2 linked regions of the Neodiprion lecontei genome follow. The protein of the gene in region 2 interacts with the protein of the main gene of each other region in a biochemical or structural test. Links are inferred from orthologs where the notes say so. Each region holds a gene or a part of one and is shown on either strand. Other genes may lie near its edges.

Region 1 (18,613 bases), on a different chromosome or scaffold from region 2:
AACTCGTTGAATAATTTGATTTAAGCGTAGGAACGTTGTACGTACATATGCGAAGTTTATTAAATTTTTAAAGCAAATTTTGCGTCAAATTACGCAGACGCTTTTACTTAAACTTTGCCGAACAATGGAATATATATATACACGTATATATCTATATTCATAAATATATATATGTTTTTTGTTTTAAATATATAGATGTAGGTACATATAAATACTAAACGGTGCTGCTCGTCTTTCAGGTATTTATACACAACGCGTATACGCTGTGCTCAGTATGTATTATGCACAAACTAATATCTATTAAATAAGAATATTTAAATAACCTTAGAACATCAAACGTCTGGAGAGCTTATAAATGCAGGAATGTAGATGTACATCGGGTGACATGGAACGATTAAGGTTGTTTTGTGATGTTGCACTTGATAAAGAGATATTGTACTTGCAGGATGTGCTTTGAATAGCTTAAGGAATACTCTCAAGGCAATCTTTGATATGTTGCCAAGTTTGAAGACCCTGAAAATATCAAATGTTAGTTTATTTCCATTTTATTTCGAACAAGACTGCAATGCCAAAAACAACAGAACCAAAGTACAGCTTTTATTACCTTTCTAGCTAACTTAAACTGTAGAACACAATATGCAGCGAGAGTCTCCTTCAAATCTAGTACTTTCTGGTGCTGGAATCTTTCTATATCCACCATTGCTTTGATGGAGAAAGATCTGGAAATAAAGTGTCGACCGTTATCAACGTCCCAACCGATAACATTGCAGCCATCAAGATATTAATGAAAGTCAAAAGAGCTTAACTCACTCCAAGTCTTCGTTCGCCTGTTTCACAGCTGTTTCACTTTGATTAATTCTCTGCTCCAGCTGGTGAACCTTCAGCTCACGCACCTCTTCTGTATCCACAGACCCGAACAGACGGGATATGAGCCCAGTTTTACCTGTAAACGATGTAACAATGCGTGTAATAAATTGTTGAGAATTAGATGTTTATTCTTAGAGATTTTCGTATACCTTGCTGCAATTTATCCTTATGCTCACAAGTCGCGGTGAGAGAATCGTAGGTCTCATCGCTAACCAGTTGCAAAGCTTCTCTTCGTCTGACGACTGCCTGTAGTGCAGAAGCCCCAAATAACCACTCCTTCAATTGGTCTGCGATGAGCTCCTCCTCCTCTAGAGCTGTGTCAATACTTGCGGCTATCGAGTCTAAGTAATGTCCAGATTTCTGTAAAAATCATTCAGGATAAGGTATTAAATACCGATGAAGTGAGGAGAAGCGAGGATAAATAAAGTACCTGCAGACCATCGCCCATTTCTTTCTCTATAGCACTCCACTCGCTGAACACACGTCCATAATTAGCGTGTAATTTGTACAGTCCATATTGCTTTTCGACCAGACGTGCTCGAACTCTAAGTAGGTTGCATAAATTGCTCTGAAATGATGAATGGTGGATAAATTCGGGACATGATCGCGGAAAGGTTGAATAAACAATGAATCTTTCTGTACCCCCTTACCTGTAATTCAATTCCGTAGTTTTTTATTGTTTCAAATCGTTTATCAGGTTTTTTCAGTCTCACAGCTACGCTAAGAGCTTTTAGCTTGGATTCTGCTAGATGCAGATAGCCTAGAAGAAAGAAAGAACCGTATCACACTATGCAAGGCTCGAAAAATTCGTGCTGTAATTATGTATCCTGAATAAAATTGACCTGAAAAACTCAGCTGCTATCTTTATCAGTGGCACAAAAGTTTCAGCCAACTTTATACCTACCAGTTTCCTTGATACTCTCTCGCCAATCGTTTTCCTGCTGCAGGAAACCCATGAAGTGTTCGTCGTGTGATAACACTGGATGTGAAGCAACACGCAACAGGAAATTCTGTAGGCAATAAGCAGCGGGAAATATAGTATATATTTAAATAATTTATTAAGCAAACATAATCTACAGTCTACATCCTTACCTCAAGTCCAGCTCTACGGCGATCGACAAAGTCAGGATCGAACGTATCGGAAGCTACCTTTTGCCATCCATAAAGTACCTTCTTCTCAGGCAGCGCAGGTAACACTATGTAAGGATAAGATACCTCCAGGTAAGCCCGTAACAATTCAAATTCGGTGTAGCGTCTCCATAACGAACTAAGTTGTGTCAGAGCGCCTTTGAAGTCTGGATCGGTTACTCTGAAACACACACGATGTATCATTAGTGGGGTAAAATCTCAGGCTGAAATCAATATACTTGTTTAGAATAACAAGACCCACTCACTTGGTTTCCACCAAATAAACCGTGTAAAATTCTCTGAGATTTAAAGCTCCGTTGGCACGCTTTTCTGCCTCCACTATCACGATTTCCATATGATCAAGAAGACAATCCTGAAATGGCGAATTAGAGTAATATTATTTATCGATGATCTAATGCTCATAAAGTTTTTTAGCAATTGTTATTGAATCGGGATCTAAAGGAAGAATGTTAAAACTCTTTGATATTGAAATTTTTCAGTTACTCCCACGTTATTTACTGAAAATATTTTATTTACTTTATTGCAAAACTCGTGTTCAAATCAGAGTTGAGTAAAATTGATTGGAGAGATGGGTCACTGGGTCAACATAACAGGAGGAGGACTTTGCTGATTATCGTAGAAAGTCAACAGGCGAAGTATACATGATAATATTGTTTGTACACATGTCAGGGTGCGACTAGAGTATTTGAATTATCTTCTGCCGTTAGAATTATCGCGTTACCTATTTTTGATTCTCCCTCTCTTAAATATGTAGATCAGATCGAACTGTAATCATATGTAGGAATAATGTTTAGAAATTACAAGTAGACACTGTACCTAGGACGCGTCTCTCAATCTTCTTTCACCCCGTGATATTATACTAAAAATCATCGATGCGTATTTACCTCTTTCCGTATTATTTCCTCTGATGTAGTCATGTTGGCTGTTGTTGTTATTGTTGAGATGTTATTTCCTAGTCTATCGTCGTAATTCCCGTTTTGAAATATTTCCTCCATCGTTCCTCCGTGCAGACGGATATCGACTTCGAGTTAATATTAATTCGCGATTGTCTGTCCATCAACTCTTCGCACTACGCCAAAGTCACCTGATCACATCACGACCTATTTATTTCATCTTTGGCTAGCTAATTGCTAAAGCTGCTGAACTGACGTCGATGCAAAGCGTCGCATCGGAGGTTTCTACCCGTCTGAACCGAGCGGTGAAACAAACGCGCGTGCGCCGAAAGTCGGCGTGATGAATTTGGGCCAAGTCGCTACAGTTTGTCCATTCGTTATCAGTTTAGTCGCTCGGGTCGTCCAATACGTCCCAGAAAGCCAATACATCATATGGAAGAGAAATACTCATTCAAAAACATCATACGTGTCGATGATTAGTAGAATGTATCAAGATTCAAAACCAATGTTTTCAGCATGATATAATTAAGAATTTCAAATTACCCAAGAACCCTTGCGCAGGGTGCGCAAGAGTGGGGAGCAGTCGCAAGGTGGGGAGGCTACGTGTATAAGTCCTATGTGTTGCCCCTGCCAAGTCACCGATTAGAGTGAGAGAAAATGCCTGCAGCTGTCGTTCTTTGTTTTGTCACAGCTTCAACACTGTGCGCAAAGCGCGCAGTCTTCTCTATGGCAATACATAGGATGGACAAGTAGTACGCCCAAATTCCATACGACTGGTTTAATTATGCGACTATGCTGGTCCCATTCGTCAGAATTATACCTTTATTATTGATAATTTTATTTTTCAGTAATATTTGACATATGCAGTACAATACACTGAAAATAACCCAAATGACATTTCATTCCACGTAAAAGTTTTGTTAAATTAGGAAGATTTATAGTGAATAAAATAATTAGAAATCTGCGCAGGTTGATGAATATAGTTACTTATTAACTATTATATACGCATGCGCTAATTAAAGAAGTGATTATGTTTTACTTAGTAAATTAATCTTTTGTTAAATTTCTTGTTTCTTTTTCTTGCATCATTTTTTGATTCTGTATCGTGCTTTGTATGTATATACTTATATATACTGTTTAAGTATATGATAATTTATACTATTGCTGTTGTGAAATCCACAAACAAAAATTATATTTATAATATAGAAAATTGTTCCAAATTTTCGAACGTCATTCGAGGCTTTTCACATTGTAGACAAAAACCCCGTGCAAAATTTTTTCTAAACAGCCAACAGATGTTGACGTACAGTATATAAAAACACTCACATGCTTGACTGTTTGTCTTTGGATCTATTCAGGAGAAATAATGTTACAAAACATCGTTCCTATCAGGTGAGGTTCGAATCAATTTTCAAGTGGTTCTGTTGTACACAGACGGATGATCGTTCAAAGTGATGAAAAAAAACATTTGTCAATTAATCAGATTGTACCTAACAAATCTAAATAACTAACATTGAATAATTAAATTTTAAGGGACGCTTACTACTGGAAAAAACAAGATAACGTTTTTCACACAATAAAAATGATAAATTTCATCGGCTGATTTGTGTTATTTAGTGTCTACTCCATGATATCTCGTAAATTGTGATACACATTCTGAAAATACGTGTTTCAAAAGTAAGATCACCCACGTGAAACAACGTAAGAAAACGAAGAAAAGACGAATCTCAGCCACATCTCGATCGGCATGGACACCCAACCGACGTTATCGAAACCTTAATTTCTCACACTTAACGAAGTAGCAAACTTAACTTACCCTTTTGGCTGTTACACCTAAGTGGTAATTCAAAATTAAATTTCGTGGTTCGACTCAGTTTTGCACTAACTGGTTGGCGGAGGTGGCGGCGGCGGTTGCGCCAACAATGTCGGTAAGCTGTTCAAATCGATACCCGGCGGTGCAGGTGCCGGTTGCTGAGGTGGCGGAGGTACAGGGGCTGCTGGCGGCCATCCGCTCAGGGTTTGCTGCTGCCATCCCGGATATCCAGGAGGTGGAGCTGTTCCAGGAGGCGGAGGACGCATCGGACTTTGTTGCCCTTGTTGCCACGGTGGCATTCCTCCCATTCCCGGGGGCATTTGGCTTGGTGGCATTTGGCCGGGCGGTGGAGGCTGGTTGTTTGCAGTCATCCACGGCATCAACGGTGGAATATTGGGTTGCGTGGTTGAGCCGGGGGGCGGAGGTGGCGGCTGCATCACACCTGGAGGCGGAGGCATGCTGACCGGAGGTTGCCACTGCATATTCATACCATTCATGCTGTTCACATCGTTCTGGGTCCAGGGAGGCGGCGCCATGCCTGGTGGAGGCATCATTGGACCGCCTTGCATCATCTGCGGCGGTGGATGTGCCGGAGCTGCCATCAAAGCACGAGGCGCTTGTTGTCTGAAAGAAGTATCAATTTTTATAGCTAATATTGTGAAGAATATCAGTAACATAATTCTGGTCAAGTCAGGGAGTCGACGACTTACCTATCGAATAGACCCGGATAATTTGTGTTTTGGGAGCGTTGATGTCCCTTGGATCGATCTGGGGGTGGACCCTCGCCGAGCTCAGCCATTAGTGACATGTATTCCTCGTCAATCTTTGCTTTATCGCCACCTGGGGTGATTCCAGTCATTCCAGCAGCTGCTGGACCACCTTGACCAGGTCGTTTTGATCGACAATCTCGCGCTATATGTCCCGCGCCTCCGCAACTCGAGCATACGATGTTATTGGTAACATTGGGTTTGTCAGGACACTGGAAATAAGTTGCGAGATAATAAAGATTAGAGCTTCTGCAGCGGACCAGAAGACGAAAAGTGGTGATATACTTACCAGCCAAGATTTGTGGTCGCTTGCGCCACAGTTCGTACATCGAGGTCCGTCATTCTCTCGAAGTGTTCCATTCAGCAATGCTAATTCGCGTAATTGATTGCGACGTAAATCGTTCTGGCCCTCAGGTACTTCAACTCCTTGTCTAATTATTTCATGAATCTAACAACAACGATACACTTGTGTATTTTTCTGGAGTATAGATTAAATATTGGGATGGTTTCGTTTGGTTTTCATTAGAGGCATACACACCCTTTCAACTGCTTTCTTCACAGCATCAAGATTGTTCGCAGTAATGTACGCATGCAACGGTTCGTCCTCTCCTGGCAAAGGCTGACCATCTTTTCTACCAACTTTACCTTCTTTTACTGAACCCTTTCCACGAATAATAATCTTGGCGCCGGTTTCTTTTTCCATTGCTGTAAAAGGATGGAATAGGAAAAAAAATTCAGCTACTCTGTACCAAATAAATTCAGTGCAGTCATGACACAAGTTTAGCATAAACAAAATTACGTACATTTCAAAGTATTCCCACGTGGTCCAATAAGCAAACCGACAAAGTTTATGTCCGGATGCTCCTCTTGTGGAATCATAACTTTATCATGTACACGGATTATTGGTGGCCTGTAATGAATAAAGTTAGACTATAAATTACAATCATTTTTAATTCCATCAGGATGTATAAGTAATTGAGTTTTCAAATTATAGTATTTTGATGATACGCAGTTTCAATCAAACGGTGAATTGATTACAGGATTTTTTTAAATCTCACTTGTAATCTGGTGGCGGTTTGAACTCAGGATTAATTTTCAGTATCTTCTGAATAAGATTGTGCCTTTCCTCCTCCAATTTTCGTCGAGTTCGATATTCGCGGGTGTTCAAGCGCTTACCATCGCTACTGTAAATCGGCTCCGGAGATGGGGACCTGAAAAAAAAAGTAATCATAGATCAGTGCCTCGGACATAGGGAGATGGTACTAGCGTACAAGCGACCTGACTTTCTAATCTCACTCTACCTCAAACTTGATTCTCACTTTTATGGTTTTTAATTATAGAAAGCTAGTTGTAAGGAATTTTCTCTGAATGCATGAAAAAACTTCAACTTCACATAGCGAAGAGCTGATAACAATTCTATGTTTTCACTTCATCATTTTGAACGCAGTTATTTTTTGTTTATACGTTACGTAGGCTTTACAGGCCTGTTCTATACGGTGTATGCTCTCATTTCGCTGACTAATGTCCAAAAATTTCTTTGTAGTTCCCTTTGTACCTATTTACACACAGTTTGCTTCAAAATAAATTTTCCACATAGATGATATTTGGCAGTCACACAACTCTTATTGCATTTCTTAAGAAAATGACTTGCACAAAAAGAAAAACAACTTCAAGTCTAGATATTGTACTTTTGTTTCTGTGGCGTTGTTAGTATATCGTAAAACAATGCAGTAAAAGACTAAATGATAGGCGAAACTTTGAGAAATTATTTCTATGGGTTGGGCATCATTCATATTATATACCAGTTTATGACGTAGCAGCGTATTATAGTATTTCACATGATTAGTTTGCCCCACAAATGCAGAAGACAGAGGAAGACAGAAGAAAATAATGAGAAAGAATTGATAATTAAAGGACCCACGATAACCGATTGTAAGAATACATATGGTCTTTGAAACACGCTGCCAATGTATTGAAATATTAATGCAATTGACCGTAAACACAATGGCTTAGCTATTGTGCGTATATCGATTATATCATATTGTAGTGAACCGCTGGTAGACTGCACGATTGTGCACGGCAGATATGGATATGATGTCAGCTGCTAAGATAAATCCTGTGATTATTAGGAAATAATAATTTTTGTTTAATTAGTCATATATCACAAAGCTGTATGCATGTACGCTTCTTGCATACTTTCAAACAGTATACAAACACTAAAACGATAATACAATAATATACAAGAATGCGTCCAGCTAAAATTGAATTAGTAAAACCTATTGGAATAAATCAAAGAGATTAAGAAATTACTGTGAAGATTAATTCAAGTTGTGTTCCTGAAAGTAACGTTAGATCGATGGGTAAAGTAAAAACGATTATATTATTAACATTTACGCTTTCATTGTTTTCTTTTTCCTGTAATCTGCCCATTAAATTTTTCATTAGTAGTAAAGATGTGCTGCTGTATGCTATCTGTACAACCTGGTTCTTAGCATTAAAGTCGTAATCATCATTAGTGGTTCATTCGGTTGCCGTGCAAATCACGGCAGTCTAGTTACCGCACGAAATAATGACAAAGGTGGCCAATGAATATTCATTAGACACAGAATAACGGGACATTTACAATTCTACAAATTCGGCTCAATGCATTCAAGTCAAGTTTCATTATGCAAATCAACCTGAGAAGCACGACGAGTGAATAGTACTCGCCTTGCCAATACCATACTTTTAGCCAGGTATTTTGTAGTCACAAATGTTGACTCTTGATAGGGAATTGTTTTACTTTAGACTTTTCTAATTCTACATGAACGGTGTGCACTCAAATATCCAAATCTAATACGAAATTCATTGGTAAACTCATCGCCTAAGGACTACCAAGGATAGCCACTCAAGGGCGTTGATTTGAAGCCTACTTTGATCCAATTATAAGCTATGTGAGATTTCTTTCTGTAAATATTTCTGCGCTTGAGCTGCGTTAGGTCTTTGCCTGCCTGTCTTTAGCAGTCTGAAGCAATGGTAAACGCAACTTGTGCATTCAGCCACCCGACTCATCCCGCAACCGTAACCTGTTGCTATAGTAGGTACTGGGTAAGGTTAAATACTAGACGAAAAAGGTGCCAGGAATGCCCCTTAGGTATTAAATACTGCTACGCAATCGATGGAAAAGAGAATCCACCTCAAGCGATAACATTGAAAAAAATTGCATCATTCTAAAAGTTTGAGGCATAAATTTCCTTGCCGTTAAGTATCCTAGAAGAGTGTAGCAGTATTCAATTAAAATGAAATAGTAAGATAAATTGATTAGAGCAAACCAATATTATCATAATTCATCTTCGGTGAACATCAGAGCTCGAGGTTCCAAGCCCCCAGCTCTCAGTTGGCCGTCAGGGGTCCGACTAATTTATGTAGAGCCATTTTAAAAACCTTTTAACAACCATGAGTTAGCGGCTGCTCAGTGACGGCAGTCGATACTGTAGGTATTGTAATGGTCATTTTTTTGGTACGTAAGATTCGTTCAAACCTTTCTTCGGGGTTTGGCGGTATTCCAAGGTCGCCAGTACGGAGTTTCCTGCTGATTTCCTCAATCTGCAGCTGAACTGTAAACCAACGGGTTAGAGGGGGCGGAAACCCCAACAGTTAGACAATGCCAATTTGTCAAAAGGGTATACATTGCTAATGTATAGCAATATATGTACATATGTTCTTTTCATAAATCGTACGATATCAGCCTGAGAATCAAAACCTTGAGTGGAATTGGTTAATAGCATGAGTTATAAGTCTATAAGATTAAATCTATCAAAAAGTATCACCAAGTTCAATCCTGACTCATCGCACATTGTTCACATTATTCCATCACAACGGCTTTCTCTCAAAAGTAGGTTTACCCACGGGATTGAGATTATATGCAATCTAGGTCAACGGTATTCGTTGTTAACATACAGCTCCGAAAAAATCGGATACAAAAAAAAAAAAAAAAAAATCGTAAAAAGGTTCTCTTCAAAGTTTTGATCGTCCCAAACGTTGAACGATGTATATTTTTATTTTCCTTATTGATTGTTTTTTTTTTTCTTTCTTGAATCAAATAATTAATAATAAAACTGCTTACCTTCACCACTAAATAACTTTTATCTTATACAGTTTAACAATTTTTCCAACTTTTTTTTTTCCCAAAAATAAATTTATCATACTTACATCGTAACGGTCATCTAATGTGAAGCAAAAAAAATAATAAATAAATAAATAATAATTGAGATAAACAAACAAATGAACAAGTGCTTTTCGAGCTCCAAAATTTTTCCTCGCATAAATAATACAGTACCACCTAAATGTATCCTAGAGGCTATGAGCTTATAGGAGTTACGACTGATAAGACATGGCAAGAAAACACAACTTACAGAGGTAAGCCTGCTCCTGTTCTGGGGTAAGATTAGTCGGGAGAACCGTCGGCATCCCTGGAATGAATGTCTTGTCGTGTTCGCTACCTCCCCATCTGGTCTTCCTTCGCTTACGCCGTTCCTCTCTGGACTCCTTGTCTGATTTTCCATCGCCTGAGTTTAAGAAGGATAAAAAAAAAAGGGAAATATAAGTGTTAGTGGGTAGCTCTCTTGGGTAATTGAAAATACGTGCAGTCAGTGAAATGTAACTCCCAGGTTTTCATCATCGAATCGAAATGTAACCTGTGCGCGAACTTAGTGGCTAATTCAAATCGAACGAGGCTCCTGAATTTCACTACTTACTTTCAGCTTCCCGCTTTCTACTCTGGGACGAACTGCTGGAGCTTAACGAAGTCCCGTTGGCGATAGCCGCAGACACAGCAGCAGCTGCAGCGGCTGCTGCGGCGGCCGCGTTTGCCGCAGCGGCATTTTGCGCATTTTGTAAATAACTTGGATTCAACAGGGACGTGAAATTCCGAGACTGATTCATCGCTGACTGACTCCCTTCACGGGCAGGCGCACGATTATTACACCTATTATTAAACTCTGGCACCGCGTTGCTGACGATGTTACACTGTAACGGAGTTAGCAACAGAAAAAAATTCGATACACTTCAAAGATGGCGATCCCATCTACGACTGCATCCACGCATGCGCTCTTTCCAATGTTGCCAGACCTACCGAATATACGCGCGTCCTTCAGAGGCTGCGTTTGATGCGGCTGTGAAAAGAGCGCGTCTTTTCAAATTCGATTATACATCCGACAAAGGTCAATCTAAATTCCGATAATGTTTTGTACAGTTTGAAAAACCGTGTGCTGTTACCTTGAAGAAGAATCGAATTGCAACTCGAACTACTCATCTGATTACCGAAAGAAATGATCGATTTCTATAAAATTCGCAGCGAATTTTTATGCGCATTCAACGAAGCTGTATGAGTCGGATTGCGGTTGGTCGGGTGACAAGTGCGATATTGTAAGGTGAAAATTTTACTACAAATTTACAAGTACAGCATCAGAGACGATATCAAAGGAGATATCTTATCTGTAGAAAAATTTATTGAACAATAGTGTACTAATGACAACTTCGATTCCTAGGAGGACATGATTCATTACAGACGTACGCAAAAGTGGATGAGACAAACGGCACAGCTTGTCATTCCAGCAATGAGAATTTAGCGTTGGAACATCCTTGGCGATGGCATCCGATTTCAATTGCGATAAATGAATTGCAGGTCTTCTGCGATGTGGACGAGCGCATTTACCCGACGATTGTGTGATTGCGCGTGCGGGTTTTTCTGGTTTGTTGAGGCTATTCCATTTCCAACCAGTTATCTTGGCGAGTTTTTTTATCGAGCAATTCGGCATCCGTCTATACATCTTCCATAAAAATGACGAGTTTGATTTCGCTGATTTTGCAGTGTTCCGGACCATCTGCTTTGCTTTGACACCTTTACCGCGAGCGATGCGACTCATTTCAAATTTTTATAATAAGCCTCACATTACTTTTTGTTAAATTCGGTTAAAATGTCATGTACTCACGTTGGTGATCATGTGTCACATCTCTGTCAAACACTTGTTTTATAAAACAACGAAAAATTACAGCCGAAATTAGACAACTCTGTCGATTGACTCGTAATTCTGCGATGCAACGTTGCCTCAGCGTTCGCATCGCGACGCGAGTTTTAACGGCATCGACGTTATGCGGCGCAGACGCGGAGGCGAGTAATCAAAGATCGTGGCTCTCATGCGGTGAAAGTAAGCCAAACCACCGGATATTTCCCGGTTAATCCAAGTCCGGCGAACACCGGGAGTTCCAGAGAACCAACATAAATCGTAAGTGCACGGAGCTTGCGCAGAAGAATTGCGGGGATTTCGCGGGGACTCCGCGAAATTTCAGCGCTAGCTCTGCGCATTTGCAAGATCCAACGGAGTCTCAGGGACTCTATAGGAAAAAAAAGCCCTGGTGTAAGATACAAACATCAGATGCTTCCGCACTCAGTTCCAGTATTGTCTGTGTCCGATATCCGAATATTTCCTTCCTTTTGTTGCAGTATCATTTGCAAACGTTGTAAGTCTCCCTCCAGCGACATGCGTTGAAGCTCTAGCTTCGTCAAGCGGGATTCGTTTCTTCCCAATTCATCTTGGAGGCCCTGTTTTTTATATTCCAACTTCGCTAGTGCTTATCGCATTTTTTCAAGTTTCTCCTATCGCAGATAAAGGTTGTTACGTGCCAGTAACGATTAAGATAATAGATAAAGTTGATCTGGGGCTTTTCTCACCTCGTACTGACTCTTTCCTTCAGACGCGCTACTGATGGTTAATTCGGGTGGTCATTTTTTCCCGGATTTGTTCGTTCTCCTCAGTTCTTTGCACGGCGGTTAACGTTTGACTCTTAATCAAACAGATAATTATATTAACAACAACGATCATCAAGCCATTCGTAAAATAAGACATATTTTTGTAGTATGAAAATATAGAGAGTTTCGGGTTGTGAGTTAAACTTTTATTATCTACTCATGCAATGTTCAATATGAAGTGAAAATTATAAATGTCGTTCGAATCTCATGAAAATGAGTGAAACTTATATTTATATACGTCGAGTCAAATTATCATTCACCGATGTAAGTTGTATGGAATTGATATATTATTATACTATGTATTGTATGTATAGTACATGATGCCGTATATGATATTTTGGTATATAAAGTTGTACAAGGACATGAAACGTAGACTTATTTAAACCAAACGTGTGAATTCTTCATGTTCCGATACAGTCGAATGGTATAGTTTTAAGTCTGAGTAGATGATATGGCTGGACTGGATGTCAATATTCTCAATATTAAAGAACTGACACAATCCATTCTCTGCCATCTACATCTTCTGGCTACATATACTCATAATAAGTTACAATTTTGATCTATCGGTAATCTATGCCAATTATATAATCAGTGAATCTGATTCAAGCAAACTCATAATGATTGAATTGAAAACTTGTAAAAGCCTATGCATGTTATTTGTTTATGCTCTCCTCAGATGATAAAGTTTGGTCTCGGGACGAGACTAAACATAGCATTTCCTTATTGTATGCACATTCTGTGTTGCAAGAGCCTCTTCCACTGTATCGATCATGAACGAGGCAATATTATAATACACTTAAAAAATAACTTTGAATATTGTCATAAGATAGCCTGTTCATTATTCCGTAACATATGTATCATGTATAGATTTATATTGTTCAGAGATCAGAGAGCAAAGATAGATAGAGAGACTCTTTAAAATGATTATTTCGAAAACTATTTGCTATTAACTTAGAAACGGTTGTTCGCAATTTCTTAACTATAATATATATTAATATTGTATATATATATATATATATGTAATGTGTATGTTGTGTAAATAATATGAACGATACGTATACCGCTAGATAATTAATCGAAAAAATAATACTGGAGGCATAACAAAACGAGTTATAAAATGAATCTAACAATAAATAATTGAAGTTCGTGAATTATACTGATACGAATAAATAATATCAATATATATTTATAAATATATATATGAAGAACATATTTGTAACGTTGTAAAATTTGAAATATACTCAACAATTTTTCCTAATTTTTCTTGCAATCAACTCAAAATAAGATCTTCAAATTTCAAGGCTATAATTTTTTTCCAGTTCAGTCAAATTGTATCAGATTTATGTGAAAAGAATCAATTAATTCTGAATTCGAACAACGAGGTCAATCAAATATTCTGGTCTCTTTCGTACGACATAATGCGTAATTTTCGGTGATAATATTATTATTGATCTTCACAGAGTCAATATGCTGGAAGCAAAATATATAATAAAACAAGCGATAAAAAAAAAATCAATTCTGTAAATGTATAATATAATATAAGTGTATACCCATGTATATAACGTACACATAACGAAATTTTAGGCGTGATTTACGAAGAATAGAGAACATCGACTGACGCACAGTTACACAACAAAACACAAATAAATCAATGTAGTTATATAATTTGTATCAATAATAAAGAAACTTGAATGATCATCTACGTAATAATATATCTACATCTGTCCCTTCCGGTTCAGATCGACTAACTTTCTTCGGTCCGCAATGCCTACCGAGCATCGAGAGAGAACAACTTCTAAATGTATCCTCAACTATCATAGAATGCCTCATAGCAGTTCCCAAAACGAAGAATACACGTACCGCTATACAATATGATTAAATATTGTGCAATGCCCTCTCGATCAACGCATTTCGGCAAAGGCACCGAATTTTCATTACACATTGATTGAACAAATGTTATCATTTTTCCTTCCTTCTTCTCGGATTCATCCTCTATTGATTAGTTTCAGGTTTATTTCAGCCGCGTCGGCGTCGGAGATCTTCTGTCGTACGAAGAGGACGGAGGCAAGGCCAAAGAAGGCGGCAAACTCGCGGTGCTGGAAAGAGTCGAGTCCAATTTCCTGGCTTCGTGTTCCAGGAGTACCGCGTCCAAGGATGGATCCTGCGACACCGTCCTCAAGGAATCCCCCAGAGCTTGTCGAAGCTGCTGCATTTCTCGCCCTGCGCGAGAACTTCGCAGCACGTAAAGTTGACGGCGTTTGATTTCTTGATTCAGTTGTTCTCTCAGCAATTGAATCTGGACGCGTCAAAAGCCGAACGATAAGAGATAAATGTTTACTAAAAAATCCGAATACCGTTACACAAAAAATACCTGATTTTCAAGTCGCAACACTTGTTGACGGTGGCTTTGCTCTCTGGCCTCTAGCAATTTTTCCGCCTGCAACTGAGCTGCTCGCAATCTTTCGATCTCTCCGCTTCTATCCCTGCTTAGATCTGACGTCGAATGCGAATGGGAGTGCGAATGTGACGTTCGCAACCGAATAAGCTCCGCTTCCTTTTCCGCGAGATTCGTCTCCAATCTGCGAATCCTCAATCTCAGATCTCTGTTCTCTTGTTCCAGATTTTCCACGCTTATGTTAGAACCCATCAACTCCATCTGAGCCTTTTCGGGACGTTCGTAACTCTTGCTACGGATATTGCTCGATCGAGATGATGAAAGCTGTCGTTCCATGTTCCGTTTGTCTGCTTCAAGAGCTTTTACCTGTGAAAATACAACATCGAACAGAAATGTATCTTTTCTAACTCATATCTGATATTCACATTCTATCATTCCATCACGTCTCTGTAACGAACGAACCGATTGAATCCGAAAAGAAAGAGCGACTTACTTTATCGTTCAAAGCATCGACCTTTCCTTTAAGTTCACTTCTTTCTCGTTGTGCACTGTGGAGTTGCCTTACGAGTTCTTCGTCTTTGTTTGATGAGCCTTCCGGAGGCCAGCTGGCCAATCTTAGTTGAGATTCCAGGCCGGATCGTTGTACTTCGTTATTGGCCAATTCGTTCTGAAGCCTGGTTGTCTGGTCGGCTAAAGTTTGATTTGTGCGTCTGAGCTCAGCCATTGCTTGCTGCGTGGAGTCCAGTCTCTCTGATAATATGCGGCGCTCGTTCTCGCTGTTGGATAGTTGTTTCTGCAGCTGGTTTTAATTGGGAGGAATGCAATGAGTGTACACATGAACTCTTCCATCTACGACCATCTAAAAGCAATATACTTATAGCTGTATCTCAACCTGTTTCAGTTTTTCGTTCTGGCTTTGAGACGACGCGTTACTTTCCATGAGACTTCGTTGCAGGGCGTTTATCTCATTCCTGAATTCACTTTCTCCGGACGACGCTCGCTCCAAAGCTAAGTTCAGTTGTTCAATCGTTGTTTTCAACGAAGCGCACCTTTCTTCTAGGCTAGCCGTCGTTCGGCTTTGCGTTTCAACTCTGTCTTGCAATTTCTAGAAAAAATTTCAACGGTAGCTTGCACGACAGGAGCGAAGAACAAGATCCACGATGTACGTCAACAGCTACCAAGCAAGTTCTAGTCTCCCGCGAATTGAAATTCGAAATGCGCGCCTTTTCGCATAGCAAGTTTTAGTAGCTTTGACGCTATGCGGCGCAGACGCGAAGGAGAGTAATCAATGATCGTGACTCTTTCGTAGTGAAACTAAGCCAATCAACTGAATATTCGCAGGCTAATCCGAGTACAGGGTACATGGGGAATCCCAGAGTTTCAGCAGAACCCTTGCCGATGCATCGAGCTGCGCGGAGGCGTCGCGAAGACCCCGTGGGAACGCTAACCGAAGCTCCGTTCAGATGTAGCGAAGCTTCGGTGGTAGTTCCACGTGGACCTCACGAAATCTCAGCGCTAGGTCTGCGCATTCGCAAGATCCAGCAGAGTCTCAGGGACTCTTTTTTTTTATAAAAACCTGGTGCAAGATTCAAATATAAATCATCCTCCACCCTCAGTTTTAGCACTGTCGATGTTCGATACCTGAATATTTCCTTCCTTTTCTTGCAGTATCATTTGCAGACGTTGCAAGTCTCCCTCCAGCGACATGCGTTGAAGCTCTAGCTTCGTCGAGCGGGATTCATTTCTTCCCAATTCATCTTGGAGGCCTCTTTTTTCATTTTCCAGCTTCGCTAGTGCTTGTCGCATTTTTTCAAGTTTTTCCTATCGCAGATAACAGTTGTTACGTGCCAGTAACGATTAAGGTAATAGGTTGAAGTTGATCTGGGGCCTTTCTCACCTCGTACTGACTCTTTCCTTCAGACTCGCTACTGATGGTTAATTCAAGGGTGGTCATTTTTTCCCGCATTTGTTCGTTCTCCTCAGTTCTTTGCTTTAAGGCTTCGGACTGGAATACATACAAATTACCAGCTGACCTTTATACGTATTTGCATACAAAATGAGGTGCATACCTGCGCTTGGAAGGCGGCCTGTCTCTGGGACAATTTTGCCTCAAGTGTACTTTTTTCATCCTGTAAAGATCGCAGGTTGCTCAGTAAATTGTTGAGCTTCGAATCAGCCTTTGACTGGTTCTCTTGTGCCTCTGTCAGCTGCTTCCTGATACTGTTGATTTCAATTCTGCAATCGTCCTGGAATCATCAAGAAAACGGGCACACGTCAAGGTGTAAATTAGCAGAAAACGTTGAACGAATGGACGATTGCAATTGGGCCCTACTCGCTCTCGTTCAATTTGAGCCACTTGCTGCATAAGAGATCGAACCCCCTTTCTCACAGCCTCCGGATCAACATCAAGTATGACGTCTCGTCCGCCGTCTCCGTGATCGGCGTGGCTTGCTGCAACATGTATCCAGCATTGAAGATGGAGAATCTTACTCAAGGGGATGACTTATGAACTACGTACCACGCGCGGGGCTCCATCTTCGCGAGGGGCTCATTAATTTGAAAGGCATATTGACGCTGCCGTCGAGTTGAATACCAGCAATACGACGAAGAGTCGATCCGACACTGCTCAGCTTTTGCTCAACTTCTTTCTTGGCTGTTTCTAGTTGGTTTAATTGAGCATCCAGAGCACGGACCCTTCCCTCGGAACCGCCAAGTCGGGCCTGGAAGTCAGAATCAAAGGATTTTTTTCTCGACGGGATATCAGAATAACGTTAGGCATACCTTGAGTTCCTGGAGTTGTTGCGAAGCATCAGCCAAACAGACTTCCAAGTTGTGCTTCTGATCCTCCAGTTTTCGTTCCCGACATCGACTGTCTTCCAGTCGGATCAGGAGCTCTTGTTCTCTAGCACGCCATCTCTCGTCTTCTTCGTCTCCTCGGGAACGAAGTCTTCCAAGTTCTTGGCGAGTCACTTCCAAGCTGTTGTCCAAGTCGATTGCCTATGGAGAAAATACAAAGAACCAAAAGTGACTTTACGAAATGCTTCACTACCGGTCGTCAGAAGCGAATAAGAAATTGAGCTGGACCTGTTTCTTCAGTTGATGCAGTTGCAGTTGGAGACGTTCCCTTTCTTCGGTCTCGTTAGCTAATCTCGCCTGCAACTCTCTCTCCTCGTTTTGTCCCTGAGCATTTGCAGCCTGGGATTTTTGCAGCTCGTCCTGAGTAGCTCGGAGTTGTTGTTGCAGCTGCATCGCATCTCGCTCCATGTCTCGGAGCTGAGACTGGAGTCGTGATCTTTCGTTGTCGATTGTAGTCCTAAGGTCTTCCAGACCTGCAAGAACGACAATTTGCAGTCAAGCTTTGTGGAAACGGATCTCAAAAGTGTCATACTGTTTGGAATTTACCTGCAATCTTTTGATAAGCTTCTTCCAGAGCTCGAGCCTGCTCTCGTTTTTCACCCTCCGTGCGTTTCACGTATTCCCGCAATTCCTTATTACTACTGTTGTACTTCTCCTTCTCATAGTTCGTGTCCGTCAATTGTCGGCGAACGTCGACTAGCTCCTTTCGCAACATTTCGATTGAATTTTCGGCTGCAACAATTTAGACTCGTGAGGAATTGCCTCAAGAGTGTTTGGCGATAGTGTCGATGAGAAAAATGAGCTGAAACGTACCTTCTTTTAATTTTCTGCCGGTCTCCTGCAGTTGATTTTGTAAACCATCGACCTTGTCTTCGGCCATGTGTAGCTGTACCTGGAGTTCTTCGGTCTCTCGCTGAGAGCTTTCCTTCTCCTTCCAGAGTTCCTCGATTTTTAAATCGAGCCGCATTTTTTCCTCCTCCGCTTTAAGCTTTGTTTCGTCGTATCGAGTTCGCAGTCGAGCCACCTCGTCGCGAAGCTGATTTATATTATTGCGATCTTGATCCGCGCGAGTACCTGCCTCTC
Region 2 (15,537 bases):
GGTGATTTTCATCTCAAAAAGTTGATATCGCCAGCATTATTTTGTTATTTCACGGGGAACGTCAAATTACAGATGAAACGCTGCTCAAATATGAAAATTAATACCTCATTCAAGTTTTCTGAATCATTGATAGATGAACCGCAGCATTACTTCTATCCGCGAAGTATGAATCCACAAGTAACCACACATTTCATTCCACACGTACTGGTTGGTTTACGAGCGCTCCTCTAAATCATATTCATCATATAACTAATAACGGTGATTTGGGGTATTCAGAGTATATATCTGAAAATATTGATCATCTCATCGCTCAGAGGGTGGAAGTGTGACAGATATCGAATAAAAATTTCAAACTCTAAATGTCGTGCAAAAATCTATCCAAATAATCGTGATTTGCTATGAGTTTGGTAAACTACAAAGAAAAGACAACAGTTTAGTTAATTCCCTGGAAGCCATCCGGTACAGGTAAAAAGTACGTTTTAACCATTCTTACGTAAATGCAAATTATCTTTATATGTACAAAAAGAAGTATTATATATTGAAAAAATTCCCAAATTTTCAAAAATAGTATGTTCATAGTTAATTCGTATGATAATTGTACCACGATAAAATGGATCATGTCTATCGTTCAATAACGTGATATAATTAAGGGAAATGAATTTTGCGCTACCTAAGGGATATTATTGATTTATAATTTTTTTACTTTTGAAATTCAATGGGAACTCATTACTATTTTCATCTGATACTTCCAAAGAATGATTTTGATTTGAGAGAAGTTAATCTGTATTTCTTTTTCTTTGTTTGTTTGTTTGTTTTTGTTCAAGTAACGAGGATTACGATTAATATACAAATACCGAGTTGTTTCATTCTCATGACTCTGCTTTGGAGTTAAGAATGCAGCGCGCGAGGGTGTGCCAACTGTGCCACGCAGTGTAGGTGGGGATGGTAGATGACATCATCCATGCCACCAACCAGCTTCAGAACCATGCCACTCCACATATGGAACCTGCCCTGCCTGCCTCCTGACTGAAGTGGAGAGTTCAGAACACATAAGTACATAAGGAACCGTCATATACCAACTATTTATTCTCTATCTCTCCCAACAATTTATGATTGTTTATATATATGGAAAGATTTTTCATCAAACAGATTGGATTAGAGAGTAGAGAGTTTACTTCTCATTTCTTCCTATGTGTGTTCTTCGTTCGTTAATAATAACTATATCACTGTTGTTATTATTGCCCTTAGGAATTAATATTAAAAATCATTCAATTGGAACAAAATAATAACATACCTACGGAACCTGAAAAAATTGTTTGTTATCACTGAAAGTACAAAAAGTATATTAATTTTGTAGACAATGTTCATACAACAAGTTACTGCCCACTGATTGATACGACATTATTTGTAACGAATCATTCAATATTTTATCATTCTAACTTCCACCAATTACTCCCTCGCAAAATTCATACTAATAAACACATCAGGGTTCCTCCAAATGTTTAGATTTCATTAAATTAGGCATGGGCAGTGACTTCAAGTCTTTCACCAACCATTCTTATGTCAACATCTCATTCTGTCGATTGCAATCTACCAAAAAATTATCCGAGTCTCACATGATACGACAAACCTTTGTATTCTGCATGCAGGAAACTGTAACGCTGTTAAATGTATGCTGTTTGAATAGATAGTAAAAATGCTTGAACATCATTTTTCATGGTGTAGCTTCCAGTATCTCACAGTCATTGGAGTTATGCAATGCCAATTTTTACTTAATATAATTGGAAAAGGAATTTTAGCAAGCTTTCCAACATTGGCAAATACTTTTAAAATCACAACAATTGAAGTCGTATTTTTTCACTGTTGGACGCAAAAGATAGAAGAAAAAACAAAGACGTGGTGAATTGTTATTTGACCTGAGGATTATTTAAAATCAGATTTCATGGCAGTAAGTTATTGTATAACATGTTAGGCTCACATACTTGCTGAAAAAAATGCGAAGGTTGCTAAAACGTAGTAAAGATTATTATATATGTTATTGTTAATCGAGCTTAATCAGTTGGCAGTCTTACACTAAGTTTCTGGTCTTCAAATTGAAACGAGAAAGATTTAGTATCACAAACTTTGAGTTACTTGAGAATCAAGAACAAGAAGCCAAACTCGAAAATGTTCGAAATATTCTCAGTTTGCCTAATTAAATTCTAAAAAACAAGATATTTTATATGAAACTGTGAATGCGTGATCTAATGATGATTCGATTGTTTGATTTTCTAGAATTTTGCCAAAACGTTGATTACTTTCTTTCAAAGTAAAACCTGTAAAAAAATTGGCCTTTCAATCGGCAGTATTATGTTATGCTGAATAATTCCAACTGGCATACCTGTTCTCGTTTAGCCGTTTTCTCCTCCTTCTCCCGCTTTCGCACTTCCAGTAGATATTCGTTGAACAGACTCTCGCGCTCGCGCATCTTCTCCACATTTTTAAAACGGTCGTCTTTGCCATGTTTTTGAGCAAAATCACTGAACGATGATCTGTTTTCACATAAAATATAAAAAGTTAAATTTAAACTGTGACACAAAATGCCAGATACAATGCCAGATTTTTGGGATCATGATGATAGAATGAAGGTGTTGAGATGATACAGAATACCATATCTCATCATAAAATATACAGTAAGTCAGTAACCTACTTTCCATGAAGTGTAGCTTCTTCGAGAAGCTTCTGAAATTGTTCCTTCCTTTCCTTCATTTTATTTCGCTTCTCTCGTCTTTCCTCCTCAGCTCGCTCCTTTACATATTTTTCAAAGACTTGCTTCCTCTCCTTCGATGTCAACAACAAATAGCGAGGGTCGAATACTATTTTATGTAACTCTTTCTCCCACGTACTGAATGCTGATACCTGAATCCAAATAGGGTCGAATAAAATATATAAGTATCGTCAACAATTGAAAGTTAACTGATTGTCACAGAACAACGGCAAATTCTACTTACATCTTTTTCTGCTAGCATATCTTTGAATGATTTGATTCTTGTATCCAAAGGAACAATGGCTCTCTCTCTAGCAGCCCTCACTTCTGCTTCAATCGCAGCCTCCTTACCTATGTCAATAGTTTTCTTTCCTTCCTTTTCCTCCTCCTCCTTAGGGATGACTGAGAACGACATTAATGTAAAACAAACAGCAGGTATATAATGTTGATAACTTTGCCATCTACATATGCTGAGGCAAATTGATTAAATACCTTTAACAACTTCTTCTTGTTTTGGTTTTTTAGCTGGTGTTGGCTGTTCCTCGTCACTGCTTTCGCAAGAATCTGATTGGTGTGGATTTTTGGGTGTAGCAACAGCATCTGGTGGAGTGGCAATCAGTTTCTCAACGTCTGCCCGTCCAACTAGATCCTCGGGCCTTTCCCACACTGATATTCGGGAAGAGGGATTATAGAAAAATACGCGACCGTCTCCAGTCCACACAACGCACCTAATTATGGAAAACATAGCAAATATTAAATAACAAATAGGAAAGTTTATTTTTAATATATACAGCTGAACAAGACAATTATTACCATGGTGTTCCAGGAACGGGAGTGCTAGAAATCGGCCTTGATTTATCTTGTGGTTTAGTTGATTCTTTGGGAACAACTTCATCTTTCTTTTGTTTGTTATTTTCAGTTTCCTTGAAATTTTCTTTGGTCTCTGGGCTACTCTCTTCTTGTTTCTCAAGTTTGATCGGCACGTCTTGAGTTCCAGCAGGTACTATGTCATCTGCTTTTTGTCGTATGGCAAGTTTTGCATCTGAAAATTCGATAAGAAAAGGTTTGTAGCATATTAGTAATAGTCGGTATCAAAATGTGACCTGTTACTCCAAGAAACAGACAATATGAAGGAATCACAAATTGATGAAAATCTTTGGATATAATTTATAAACTCGTGCAGTGATTCTCCCGATTTTCTAGTCCTGAGTATTGATATACGTACTTTCAAAATCTTTCATTGGCTGGGGCTTTTCCCAAACTGATTCGCCTGCTTTTGTATTATAATAGTACATCCGGCCATCAGGTGCACGATGTTCAGTCCAAACTAATGCTAACGCCACTAACTCCGGGTCTATCTGTGCCAATATGGCGGGATCTTCAACACCAGTCTGAGGAGTCATAACTCCATGTGGCATTTGTGGCATACCTGAATAAAAAGGGACATTCGTTCGCTGAAAATGAATGTGCTCATAACACAATTTAAATTTCGCGCCAAGAAAAATTATTTACCCCAATTTGTTTGAGGTGGTCCATAATTTCCAAACGCCTGGAAGCCTGGCGGAGGCATGCCAAAAGGTGCTGCTCCAAACGGAGTGGGTATAGGACCTCCAAACTGATTGGTGGGCATTCTGTGTTGCATTGGCAGCATATTTGGTGGTGGTTGCATCATGTTTGCTGTGCCATTAGTCGCCAGTGCACTAACAGCCGATGGTGATGCTGCAAAGTTTTATATTTTACGTTACTTCATAAATCCGGTATATGAAACAATGTGAGATAACGTATTATATATAATTTTAACCATTTGTCTGACTTATTTCCGGCTGTACACTTGTGTCGGTTGGTTCACTGGCTGGTGCGGTAGTTGCAGAAGAAGGTGTTGAGGTAGCAGCTTGACTCTGAGCTTCTGAGCTGCCAGTTACTTGTTCGCCAGACTGTGTTACTCGTGTTTCAGCCGGTTGAGACTGTATTGTACCTGTTGGCGTTGTCGATCCAGTACCTTGTTTAGCAGCGCCATGTACCAGTTGCTCTAACTAATATATTACATAAGAATTTTACCAGGTTAGGAGGTGAAAGTATGTGAAACTAATAAGGAAATACGGAATACCGCAAATTCTGAATGCCCACCTGATCTTGCGCCATAACTTTAACATTTGGTCCCTCAGGCTTGGTCCAGGTAGTCTCTCTTGTTCTTATATTATAAAAATATGACTTTCCGTCCCCAGTTTTCGTCTCAACCCATACCTCACCATTAAGGTCTAATCCTGGAATGTTTGTTTGCGATTGATGTATCTGCTGTTGAGTCTGCTGACCGGCGACTTGTGCTCCCTGCTTTAAACAGATTATCATTTATCAGTAAGTAGTTTACTCTTACATAAGATATTCATGCCACAAGTGAGAATATCAAACTTCATTCAGCTGATAATCCTCATTTTATCGATTAATTACAGACGTACATTCATGCTTGGTGGTCCCATTCCAGGCGGTGGACCATACGGGCCAGCACCAAGAGGTCCGTTCATCATGTGCGGAGGGGGCTGAAAAATGACACAAACGAAAATTAGTATAATCTTTAACGATTTCACAAATGCATTGACCATCCAAGAGTTGAGATCATTCTCAGAATTCGAATAAACAGGCTACCATTCCAGGTGGTCCCATCATGTTGGGAGGCCCCATCAAATTAGGGGGTCCCATAGGGCCCCAGCTTGGATCGAATGGTGGTGGGCCACGAAAACGTGGTCCTCCAGGGCCTGGTGGACAATTGGGACGTGGTGGACCTTCGAATGGGAACCCATTGTTTCCTCCTCTGAACATTGGCCCACGTGGGCCAAATCCTCGTCCTCTAAATCTAGGGGGCCCACCTCTCATTGGAAAGTCAAATGCTCCCCGACCCCGACCCCTAAAATAAAACCATAAAAAAAGGTGATTACCTATGCACTTGGAATCACTTATTACAGATCATCTATCAACGTCATCAATATGAATATCAGAATATTGAGTACGTACTTAAAAGCTCAAAGTTTTGAGAAAATGTACATTCAAAATTTTAAGTCAATTTTAAATATGAGTGAATTGTGCTGGAAATTGTAAACAATAGTAAGAAAGTATCAGACAAAATAATCAGTCCCACTCTTGACAAGATTGGAAACAAGTCCAAAACTGTTACAAGATTGCGAATTAAATATTATAGAGAATTGGTGCGACCGAGAATTAGAAAGAAACGGAAGCAAATCATTTTTCAAATTCGCAGTTCTACATTTATCAGAACTTCTCAAATGCCAGCTCTATAAGATAAATATATTGTCTGGATATTTCAAATGAAAATCATGAGAATCAAATAACTTCTGACCGATTTGTGGTTGGAATTTACAAAGATAAAAATTTTATTTTTGCTAGCATGTATCAATCTGTTTGCCAGACTATTTAGATTTTTTGGTGATAACTTGTGTGGGAATATAAGTCTTTTGAAACATGTTTTCCCTTTGAATTGACCAAGTGTAACAGAATAACATCCATATTAATCATTTTCAGTTGAAAAAAAAAATTGTTTCCATGGCTACATGTGTGTGTACAGATAACACATGACGTCCTCGTTATTATTATGATTATTGCTGTAATTTTTCTGGAGTGAATATTGCTTTCGAAATCTTTCTTCGAACTTCAATAAATCTTTGCGAGGAAGTTAATCGAGGTGGTCGGGAAATTGGCGAGTAGTTTAAACTTTCCACTCAGTATTTTATTACCTAAAACCTCCTCGGCCTCGCGGAATAAAAGGCCTGTAGTCGTCACCATCGAAATTGTACTCCTCTGTTTCCTCTGTAGGTTCTTCGGTGGCTTCCTGCTCTGTATTAGCGGCAGGCTCCATAGTTGGAGCGGGTTGTTCACTGCTTACTTCCATAGTGTGTTAATTTATCGTGAAAAATTATGGTAACTGCTTTATAAACTATTTACGCCCATTAAGCAAATCTTTTCTTTCTTTTGCCGTTGTGTCGAAGCACGAAACGCCGCAAACAAATCACTATTCCAGCGCGAGGCGCAAGCGGCAAGCAGTAAACACGTAATTACCAACCCAAGAAAGAAATTACCCTTGATTAAGGCGCTACCATTTTCCTTCTTTACCGATTGAAAATTGGAAACCCTTATTGCAATCGTTTCCAATTATCACTAAATCAGTAAATGAAATTGATTCAACTTTTCACACAAAATGTTCTTCGAAAATTTTATCAGCGAGGTATATGGTGAAATAGTTATAAATAATTTCTATTCTGCTGAAGTATTCGTGCCATCCTCGTCCGTGACGCGTTTCGTGCAGAACTATAGCGACTTGTATAGAATGGCTAATTATTTTAACATTTCACCAATGATTATACTCACGAAACTAACTACAGCTTTTTAGATCAAAATGTTCAGTATATTAAAGAATGCGCGTAAGCATTCGTCCACGCAAAAATAACTACGCAAAAATGTTTCCATTTACCGACGCTTGGCAATCCGAGTAGTCTTTGGCTAGGGGATATTATAGCAGCGAAAAAATATGACCAGGGTTTCCCCTTCCAGTCGCCCCTTTGCTGATTGCCGAAACGTACGAAATATCGTCAATGTGCGCAGATGCTGACATCATGGTGTGCTGACATGTTCCGAAAAGAAAAACTAGCAGTCAGCAGCTCCTGAGAAACACGGACGCGTTGCGCAATTCGTGTATTGTGTTGTGTATTTGATATATATAACTCAGATTATTCCTAATACAGTTTCGACCATGAAAAAATTGCGATTGTGGCTATTAGTCAATCTGTGAAATACGCGAGTGGAGTAAAAATACTTCTATTCTATCCTATGCGTGTTAACAATCGCATCGTCTACGAAGTGACTGTTGCCTCCACCAACGCACAATAATTTACGCACGAGTTCAAAAACTATTTTTTCATTCACAACTTTTTAACCACGTTGAAAACAATTATCACCCATGTAAATAGCTAAGGTTAAATATCATCCTCCTAATGTGTGTTCACGAAAACATGGAAAGAACGCTGCAATTCATCCTATAACAATTTTAGTCTACGATGAGTTTTGGAGTTGTTTGAAAAAATCTAGTGCACGGTATGTTGCATTATTAAATGGTGTCCTGAATATTACTACTATCCTTTCGATAATGCTTTGTATAACATTGTCATTTGATATTGCAGGATGCTGTTCGCTTAAAAGTTGAAGTTTATTGAGATGACAGATGTTTTGAGGTCAGCTACTGGACGAGATAGTATAATGAAAATGTTGCTGTCGACGTGTCCCGTTGTTTCCACTTCATCAACAGTAGGCTCAGGACTACCTAGTCCAACTGGTGACACGTTTGATGATAACCCAAATACATTAACCACATATTTACATCAGCTCGCTGGATGTTTCGAGAGTGAAATCAACGTTATCGTCAAGGATCACTGCTATGCTCGCCCTTGGAACTGGAAACCGGAAAATGTATATGTCAAGCCAGTCAAGAAACTGTTCTTCAGCAAGCCGAGAAGTTTGTTAGTCACGTGAGTATAAGATGATAGTGCACGGCGTGTTTTCCTATTTCATTTGTGTTAATTTTTTAATAACCTAACTGAAGGAGAGCTACGAGAATGATAAAATCTCGGATAATTTTTATTTCTTTATTCCCGCTCTCAGAATTTTCTTTTCTATTTTTTTTATAATTGAAATTTGTTTGTTTTGTTGTTCTGGATTTAAAAAAATAGGGATAAACTAAAACAGGATGAAGAGGTCAACGTTGAAGGAGATATGACGGAGTCTGTCACGCCGCCGTACGATTTAGCCAGAACTCGTCATGTGATGGACGAGTTTCAGAGACTTGCTAATTTTGCTCGACCTGACGAAAATGATGATTGGGAAGAAAAGATAGAAAAAATCCTTTGGACTCCGATTCAAAATCGTATTTTTACCAAAGTTATGCGCATATTATCATCAGAACGGTTAGCTAGATTGGTAAAAGCGAATAGTTTAATGGAACCAATTTTTCGAAGAACTTCCGTTGACACAGCTGCACGAAGATTCAGAGAAACACTCGCATCTGCTGGGTGGGATTTTCGAGTAGCTCAATGGCTGCATAATTTACTCTTCGAAAATCTACCCCAGGAATATATGGCTATTTACCTGGATATTCTTCAAACGTTGAGATTAAAAATTCCACAATTAATAGATAAAATAATAGCCATACAACCAAACTTAAATGCTAAAAGTGGGTCAATAACCTGGGAAACCCTCGGACCATTGCTAAAAAGATCATGGGATCCAATCGCATCAACACTGAATGCAAGCAGGCCAGTAAGTTAAACCTTTGATACCACAATAGAATTAATGATGCAAGTTTCGGAGTAGATTATTTGCAAAAGTAGATCACTACTTTAATACTTGTCATATTGTTTCCAGAAAAAGTTACCTGGCAATCCAATCCTTGTCATAGCACCCTCTGGAGTCGGAACCAGTGTTTCTTCACGACAACACAAATGGATTGCGCATTTGGGAGCATTGGGTATGGTTGTCAATGTGCATACACACATGGGATTAGCGGCAAATAGAATGACGATGATGGCGTGCATGGAGCAACTAGTACAAGCTACCAGAACCAAAATACAAGACGTTCGTAGTGATTATCCAGGGCGCCCAATAATCCTTGTTGGATTTAACACAGGAGCTGCTCTCGCTTGCCAAGTGAGACTTAATTATTTACCACTTTGTAAAACATTTCACTGTATATATTTCATGGCGACTAAGAATCTATTTTAACTGTTTCTTAGGTAGCTCAAATGGAACATGTAACGGCAGTGATTTGCTTGGGCTTTCCATTCACGACTGTAGAAGGAAAACGGGGGACCCCTGATGACACTTTGATGGATATTAGATGCCCTGTTATGTTTGTAATTGGTCAAAATGCGACACTTGTGAGACCCGATGACTTGGAAGATCTGAGGGAAAAAATGCTTGTCGAAACAAGCCTAGTTGTTATAGGAACAGCGGATGATCACCTGAGAATATCTACGGCAAAGAAAATATCTGAGGGTATAACACAGAGCATAGTCGACAGATGTATACTTGACGAAGTTGGTGATTTTGTTGGCAGTATTCTGCTGCAACCTCATCCTCTGCCTCTGCGATCTAATCCCTTGATAAACTCTGACAAATCTATGAAAAAGGAGTCTAGAAAGAGGAAAAATTCTACTAGCAGTTCAGTAGAGAGCGAACCACACTCTCCGAGTTCGAAAAAAACTAGACCTATGACACCCATCACGCCTAATGCTGTCTCTGGTACACCGCAAAAGTCTTCAGCAGGATCTCTGGTGCGATCGGGAACTATAAATACGCAGCCAACCCTTTTAGCAATCAGCGGAGCAAATTTAAATCATGCCTCGGCATCTAAACGAAAACCTAGAGTCATCAGTAATCAGAAAGTGACTTTGCCTGACCAGCTATTATCACCAAGACTATCGGGGCAGGTAAGGAAATTTTGTTTAGCAACATTATGCTTTGATGCAGCATTGGATTGACTATACAAATTGTTATACAGTTGAATGCAAGTAATGCAGGCGCGGGGATAACGTTGAACATTGGTACCTTGGCCAGTTTAGCACCCATCGGACCATTGCGTATGGCAACAACCTCAGCCGGTCAAACTTTTCCGACTACAACCAAGATGAGCAATGTATGCAGGCCGTCAAACGTGTATTCTAAAATGCCTAAAATGATGGCCACAAATACCAGTCCTCAAAGTAGTTCAAAACTGAAAACAGTTATGACAACAAGTAAAAACTTCTCTAAAACTGTAACGAGCAGTTATAAGCACATCAATATTACGGACAAAGGTGGCGAAGCTAAATTGGTAAACGTTCTAACTACGGCTGGAAATCAAGTTAGGGTCAGTGCGTCTACTGCTGCAGGTAATATTTGATTTACTAATTATGATTTTTTGGTATCAACCTATTTGTGAATATAATATCAATTAGAAACATTAATTGCACATACAATAAATTTGATAATTTCTCAGAATCGTGTATGTATCTGTTTTCTATAGCGATGCAGGTAAAATCTGTAACTAATGCAAGTGGAGCTCTTTCCGCGCTACTGCAGAGCAGAAGAAGTCCAATGGGAATAGTCAGTGGTATGCCAATGGGAAAAGGTACCTCTGCATCAAGCATTTTGTTGACGCCCAGTGTTTCAACTCCAAATACACACACGATTGTATCATCCTCATCAACAACTACACCAAAAGGTAGAATTCTATTATCTAGCCATATTACGAATAAGTAAATGAAATTTTATATATTTTCACAACGACCGGCGTTGTTTTGTATTGAAGATTTTAGTCAAGTATTACGTCTATATGTTGACCTCAGTTTTCAAATAACAAAGAATCTCTATTCGCACAACGATAAGACGCAATTATGGTATTGAATGTAAGGATCATTAGCTTAGGACAGGTTTTTTTTTTTTAATACATTTTATTTGTATGTAACATGATATCATACAATAACTGTATGAATATATGTAATATAGTCGTTGCTAGGAACAGTCATTTGTAGATAATGAATGCTTCAAATTAAATCTGGTCTTCAATGCCTAAAGTTTGATTGCGAAGGATGCACTGCAAAATGCTATGCATCCAAGACGAGAACATTGTTGTTCAATCGAATTTTGTCAGAAGAAATATTTTATCATGTGTAAATACACCAACATTGCCTTATATTTTATGTTCAATAAACAATTTCATGTAACTCGGTTTTCTTTTAATTCCTATCCCTCACCTTGGTAAAAATTAATCTATTAAGAGGTTGAAATGAACGGTTTATTCCATATTAATTCGTTCTAATGACTTTAAATTCTTAAGATATGCATGTATATATATGTATAAAGATATTTCTTCTTTCTTGTAATTTAATGTTGAAATCGTAACAATTTACAAGAATAGGAACCTTATACCATTCATTTTAATGTATAAAATTTACGTTTTGAGAAGTTTTGAGTCTGATCAAAATTACAACGAAGTTTAAAAGCAGCATCATTGCCGGTTTTTACATACAGCGAAAATAAAAAAAACAATTTAACTTGAGAAATCATAGGTCATTAACTGGTCTCTCTTTATCGAAATTGAAAACTTAACGTGCTGTTTATAGTGCTAAGATGAATGTGAACAGGTTTTTCATAACAATATACTTTTGCTTACACAGATACATGTTTAGATATTTGATGTACATCTTATGTATGCAGGGTTATCAATTGCACTGTAACTTGGTACATATTTTAACATTTTTCCCGTTTCTCTCGTAATATCTGAGAACGGTATCTCTATTTTATAGAGCCGGAGAACAACGGAGCAAGCAGCAGTACGAATCGAACTATATCTACCTCAAATCAACCGTTGGATGTGTCTAAGATGCAGTCTCTACCCGCTTCCCAAACCAGTTCATCGAATACAAACTATCCTCTTGCAGTATCATCGGAGAATGTAGTGATGTTAGCAGATAGTTTGAACAATTCGAGAACAGCTTCGATGTTAGTACCAATGTCTGGTCAAAATACAATAACCATTTTACCCCTGTCAAGCAAAATGATGATGAGCCAAAGGTCTATGAAAACAGTGCCAAAGATAACAGTGAACAATTGTAATCTCCAAAGAGTACAGAAAGTCAACAAACCACAATCGCCAACGCGAAAAAAAATTAATGATGACTTTGACGACGATTTGGGTAACATACTGGACATTCCAATAATATTTGCTAAAGACGGCGAAAATTTAAACGCCATTGAAAAAGCTCCGCCAATCTCTCAAGTGCCAGTTATGATGGATCCTTACGACAAAAATATTCCAAAACTAAGTGGGACCACGAAGGTTGTATTGATCAGTAATAAGCATGATAAAATACAACATCCCATCACAAGTTTAGCCAATACACCAATGCAAGCTCTTGTTCGAGCGACTGGACCGCTGCATCATGTTAATCGTGCAGTTCTGACATCCCGCTTGCAAAATCAATCTATAACAAGCACTAATCGCATCGGTACACCGACACAAACAATACCACGATTGAATCACCCAACGATTAAGTATACTAAGATTATTTTAGCCAAGAGAAATTCTGTTCCTAGTAATATTCACGACGATAAGAATGAACAAGTTGTTTTAACTAAAAATACTTCAAAGATGGTTAGTTATGAAAAAAATGAACATAGATACGCTCAGATGCTTCCGAGGCATCAAATTAAATTTCAAGAAATCATTCAAGATGATGCATTGGAAATTGAGGATGCTATCAAGACAAATATTATTGAGCGAAAAATTCCAACTGTATCAGAAATTGACTTGACATCACCATCGAAAAACGGTCACGACACTGAATCACTTAATCATGCGGATTCAAATACAGAAATAGATATTGTAAAGACCAAGGTTTTCCTTTCGGATACAAACGCATCTTCTGAAATTATTGAAAAACAAAACGAAAATGTAAAAGGATAAATAACTAGTTAATGTAACCTCAAGTTTTGCGATGAACATTACATTAGATCTGTATGTCTATGTAGATGTCAAATTGTACATTCAACTGTCAATTTATCTCTACGATACAATTTTTACGTTTATAAATGATGATTTTATATTTTTACTGCTAAAAGTTTGAAATTAGCAAACCAAAGCCATTATCTGAAATTTAATATACTTGTTATATCAATATAATAGAAGAAGAATTGATACTATTATTCATAAAAGTAATTTATGTTAATTTGAAAGAAAAAGTAGCCATGAGGAAATAATGGTTTTAGTCAGTTTACTGTAAATGTATGTCATAAATAGATCACACGGCTGCTGGATTCAATAGTAGATTGGTGCAGTCGCGTGTGGGAATATATTTCAAGTTTACCTGAATTGGTTCTTGAAATAAAATGAAAATCGTTCTACAACGCATAGTAACAATAAGGACTTTCAATTTTTAAAGAAAATCCTTAAGTTCACTTTTAGTTTACAAACTTTATTCTGTTTCAATACTAATATTTTGGAATCTGAATGCATTTCAATACTTCTAAAATATCAGAAAACGTAAAAATGCAATAATCGAGTTGAAAGAATTGCTATTTATTTGTTCATTTAAAATAAATGTAAGGCTGTTATGATTAACTATTATTTTTCAATGTTGCTAAAAAGCTATTGACTATCATATTTAATTATGAAATATCTTTTGTCCTCGCCATTAGAAACACTAATGACAAAACTGACTTCATTGATTATTACATGCCTTAATAGATACGAGCCCTGACGCTATTTATTCTTTTGTAAAAATGTAGCAAATAGATCTTTCTGAGTAATGAAAAAATTCTCATATAAACACCAAAACTACGTATTGTTAATATTAGTTAATAATAATCAATGATCTTGCTTTAATAACAATATTAAAGGTTGATGTAACAATTCAGAAGAAGACTGTGAAAGAGTTAAATTGCTCCTCTAGTTCTCAATATATACTATATTCATATACGTATTCAAACTATAAATTGTTGGCTCGTTACTTGAGTATGTGATCGTCTTTCTTTGACCATATAATTAATACAAACATAGTAGTAAATTAGAACATTAACTTGATTAGTACATGTCAAATCTTTACTGGCTACCGCAAAAACTCTCCCTTATATTAAATCCTGCCGCTTATTCTGATCTGGTAAAAATATAACGCTATCAACTTGTACTTTCAGAACTGAAGATTAAGGAGTAAGGACATTCTTTCATTATGGTAACGTATGCTTTGTGTATAAAACTCTGTCTTAAAACAGAATAGTAGGTACGATATTTACAAGGCACTAGTGTCTAACAAAAAAAACTGTTTATCGCTGCAGGTCTACTTAGTCATTGCCCAGAAGAATATTGCCATCCTCTGACGTGAACATGAGGTACAATTTCTTGCTCAATTCAGGTCCTATCCGTCGGACATTTGTAATAGGTCCTGCAGTTCTTCTGATCTGTTTTAAGTAAGCTTAAGTTATTAAAATTATATAGTATAAAATATATGTTTATTTGAGAAAACTTACAGGAATATCTTGAAGCAGTTTCATACCTTCCGAAAGTGTGCAATGAGCATAAGCCTGTAACATGAGTAAGACAATTGATAAAATGTGTTTCTTGGAAACATTTGGAAGTACGAATAAAAATAGGCAGAGGTATGTTACAAGCATTCACTGATTCTGTTAGTGAAATTGAAAAACTCACATCCATCAGATGTGAGGGAGTTGGATATTTTGAAATAATGGCCTCTGCTGTTTCCAATCTAGCCAAATTAAACTGACATAGTTGTTGTTGCCATAGCCTTTTCAGTCCATTCCCATCCTTGTCGACTTTAACAGTGTCTTTATTGTCCCCAGCGGCGTAAAAGTCTAGCTGAGATTGTAGCATTTGTTTCTTGTGAATTTTGAACGGTGCTTCAGCAATGGCTTTTGTATACTGGCCAATGACCTGACCTAGACCGTGTGGTGATTCGATTAGTTGACTGTTACAGTTTAGTGTGAGTTGAACCTCAATCAGGCACAGTTCTAATTGTTTCCTAGAAATCACTGGCAAATCTTCAAAAGCCTTGCTACCTCTCCGCTTTTTCCCATCCCTGAAGCTTCCCAGACATAGGTTTTTAACTTGCATTTTTTTAAGATTCCTATGATGCCTGAAATAGTTTTCCATTCCGTATACTATCAGCGTTGTCACTTTCCCAGGCATTGATGTTTGGATATTATCTATGGATGTCACAAACGTATCACTGGCTACTTTT

The links.
Region 1: the proteins of transcription elongation regulator 1 (region 2) and splicing factor 1 form a complex in vitro, tested with the Homo sapiens proteins (3 studies listed by BioGRID). The link is inferred for Neodiprion lecontei from reciprocal best matches to the Homo sapiens genes TCERG1 and SF1.

What each region holds. Positions count from the first base shown.
Region 1 is NC_060260.1:2,607,344-2,625,956, forward strand, and holds splicing factor 1, read right to left. Parts: upstream 10,555-18,613; 5' UTR 10,413-10,554; coding exon 10,226-10,412; intron 10,037-10,225; coding exon 9,884-10,036; intron 9,086-9,883; coding exon 9,010-9,085; intron 6,701-9,009; coding exon 6,548-6,700; intron 6,400-6,547; coding exon 6,293-6,399; intron 6,195-6,292; coding exon 6,028-6,194; intron 5,938-6,027; coding exon 5,779-5,937; intron 5,702-5,778; coding exon 5,433-5,701; intron 5,347-5,432; coding exon 4,791-5,346; 3' UTR 3,383-4,790; downstream 1-3,382. Other genes in the region: sorting nexin-4, read right to left, coding at 463-513, 605-719, 811-943, 1,017-1,227, 1,298-1,435, 1,518-1,627, 1,772-1,877, 1,960-2,176 and 2 more; rootletin, read right to left, coding at 14,291-14,575, 14,651-15,040, 15,168-15,473, 15,567-15,779, 16,316-16,495, 16,572-16,679, 16,744-16,920, 17,007-17,125 and 5 more. UniProt on the Homo sapiens protein: Necessary for the ATP-dependent first step of spliceosome assembly. Binds to the intron branch point sequence (BPS) 5'-UACUAAC-3' of the pre-mRNA. May act as transcription repressor.
Region 2 is NC_060265.1:27,675,098-27,690,634, reverse strand, and holds the start of transcription elongation regulator 1, read right to left. Parts: upstream 6,889-15,537; 5' UTR 6,648-6,888; coding exon 6,493-6,647; intron 5,649-6,492; coding exon 5,390-5,648; intron 5,284-5,389; coding exon 5,203-5,283; intron 5,078-5,202; coding exon 4,874-5,077; intron 4,780-4,873; coding exon 4,548-4,779; intron 4,466-4,547; coding exon 4,259-4,465; intron 4,176-4,258; coding exon 3,972-4,175; intron 3,789-3,971; coding exon 3,560-3,788; intron 3,475-3,559; coding exon 3,239-3,474; intron 3,149-3,238; coding exon 2,991-3,148; intron 2,899-2,990; coding exon 2,690-2,898; intron 2,532-2,689; coding exon 2,381-2,531; intron 98-2,380; exon of another isoform or gene 1-97. Other genes in the region: KAT8 regulatory NSL complex subunit 3, read left to right, coding at 7,967-8,277, 8,479-9,064, 9,170-9,451, 9,538-10,233, 10,305-10,674, 10,809-11,006, 12,091-13,250; crossover junction endonuclease EME1, read right to left, coding at 14,624-14,740, 14,810-14,863, 14,988-15,537. UniProt on the Homo sapiens protein: Transcription factor that binds RNA polymerase II and inhibits the elongation of transcripts from target promoters. Regulates transcription elongation in a TATA box-dependent manner.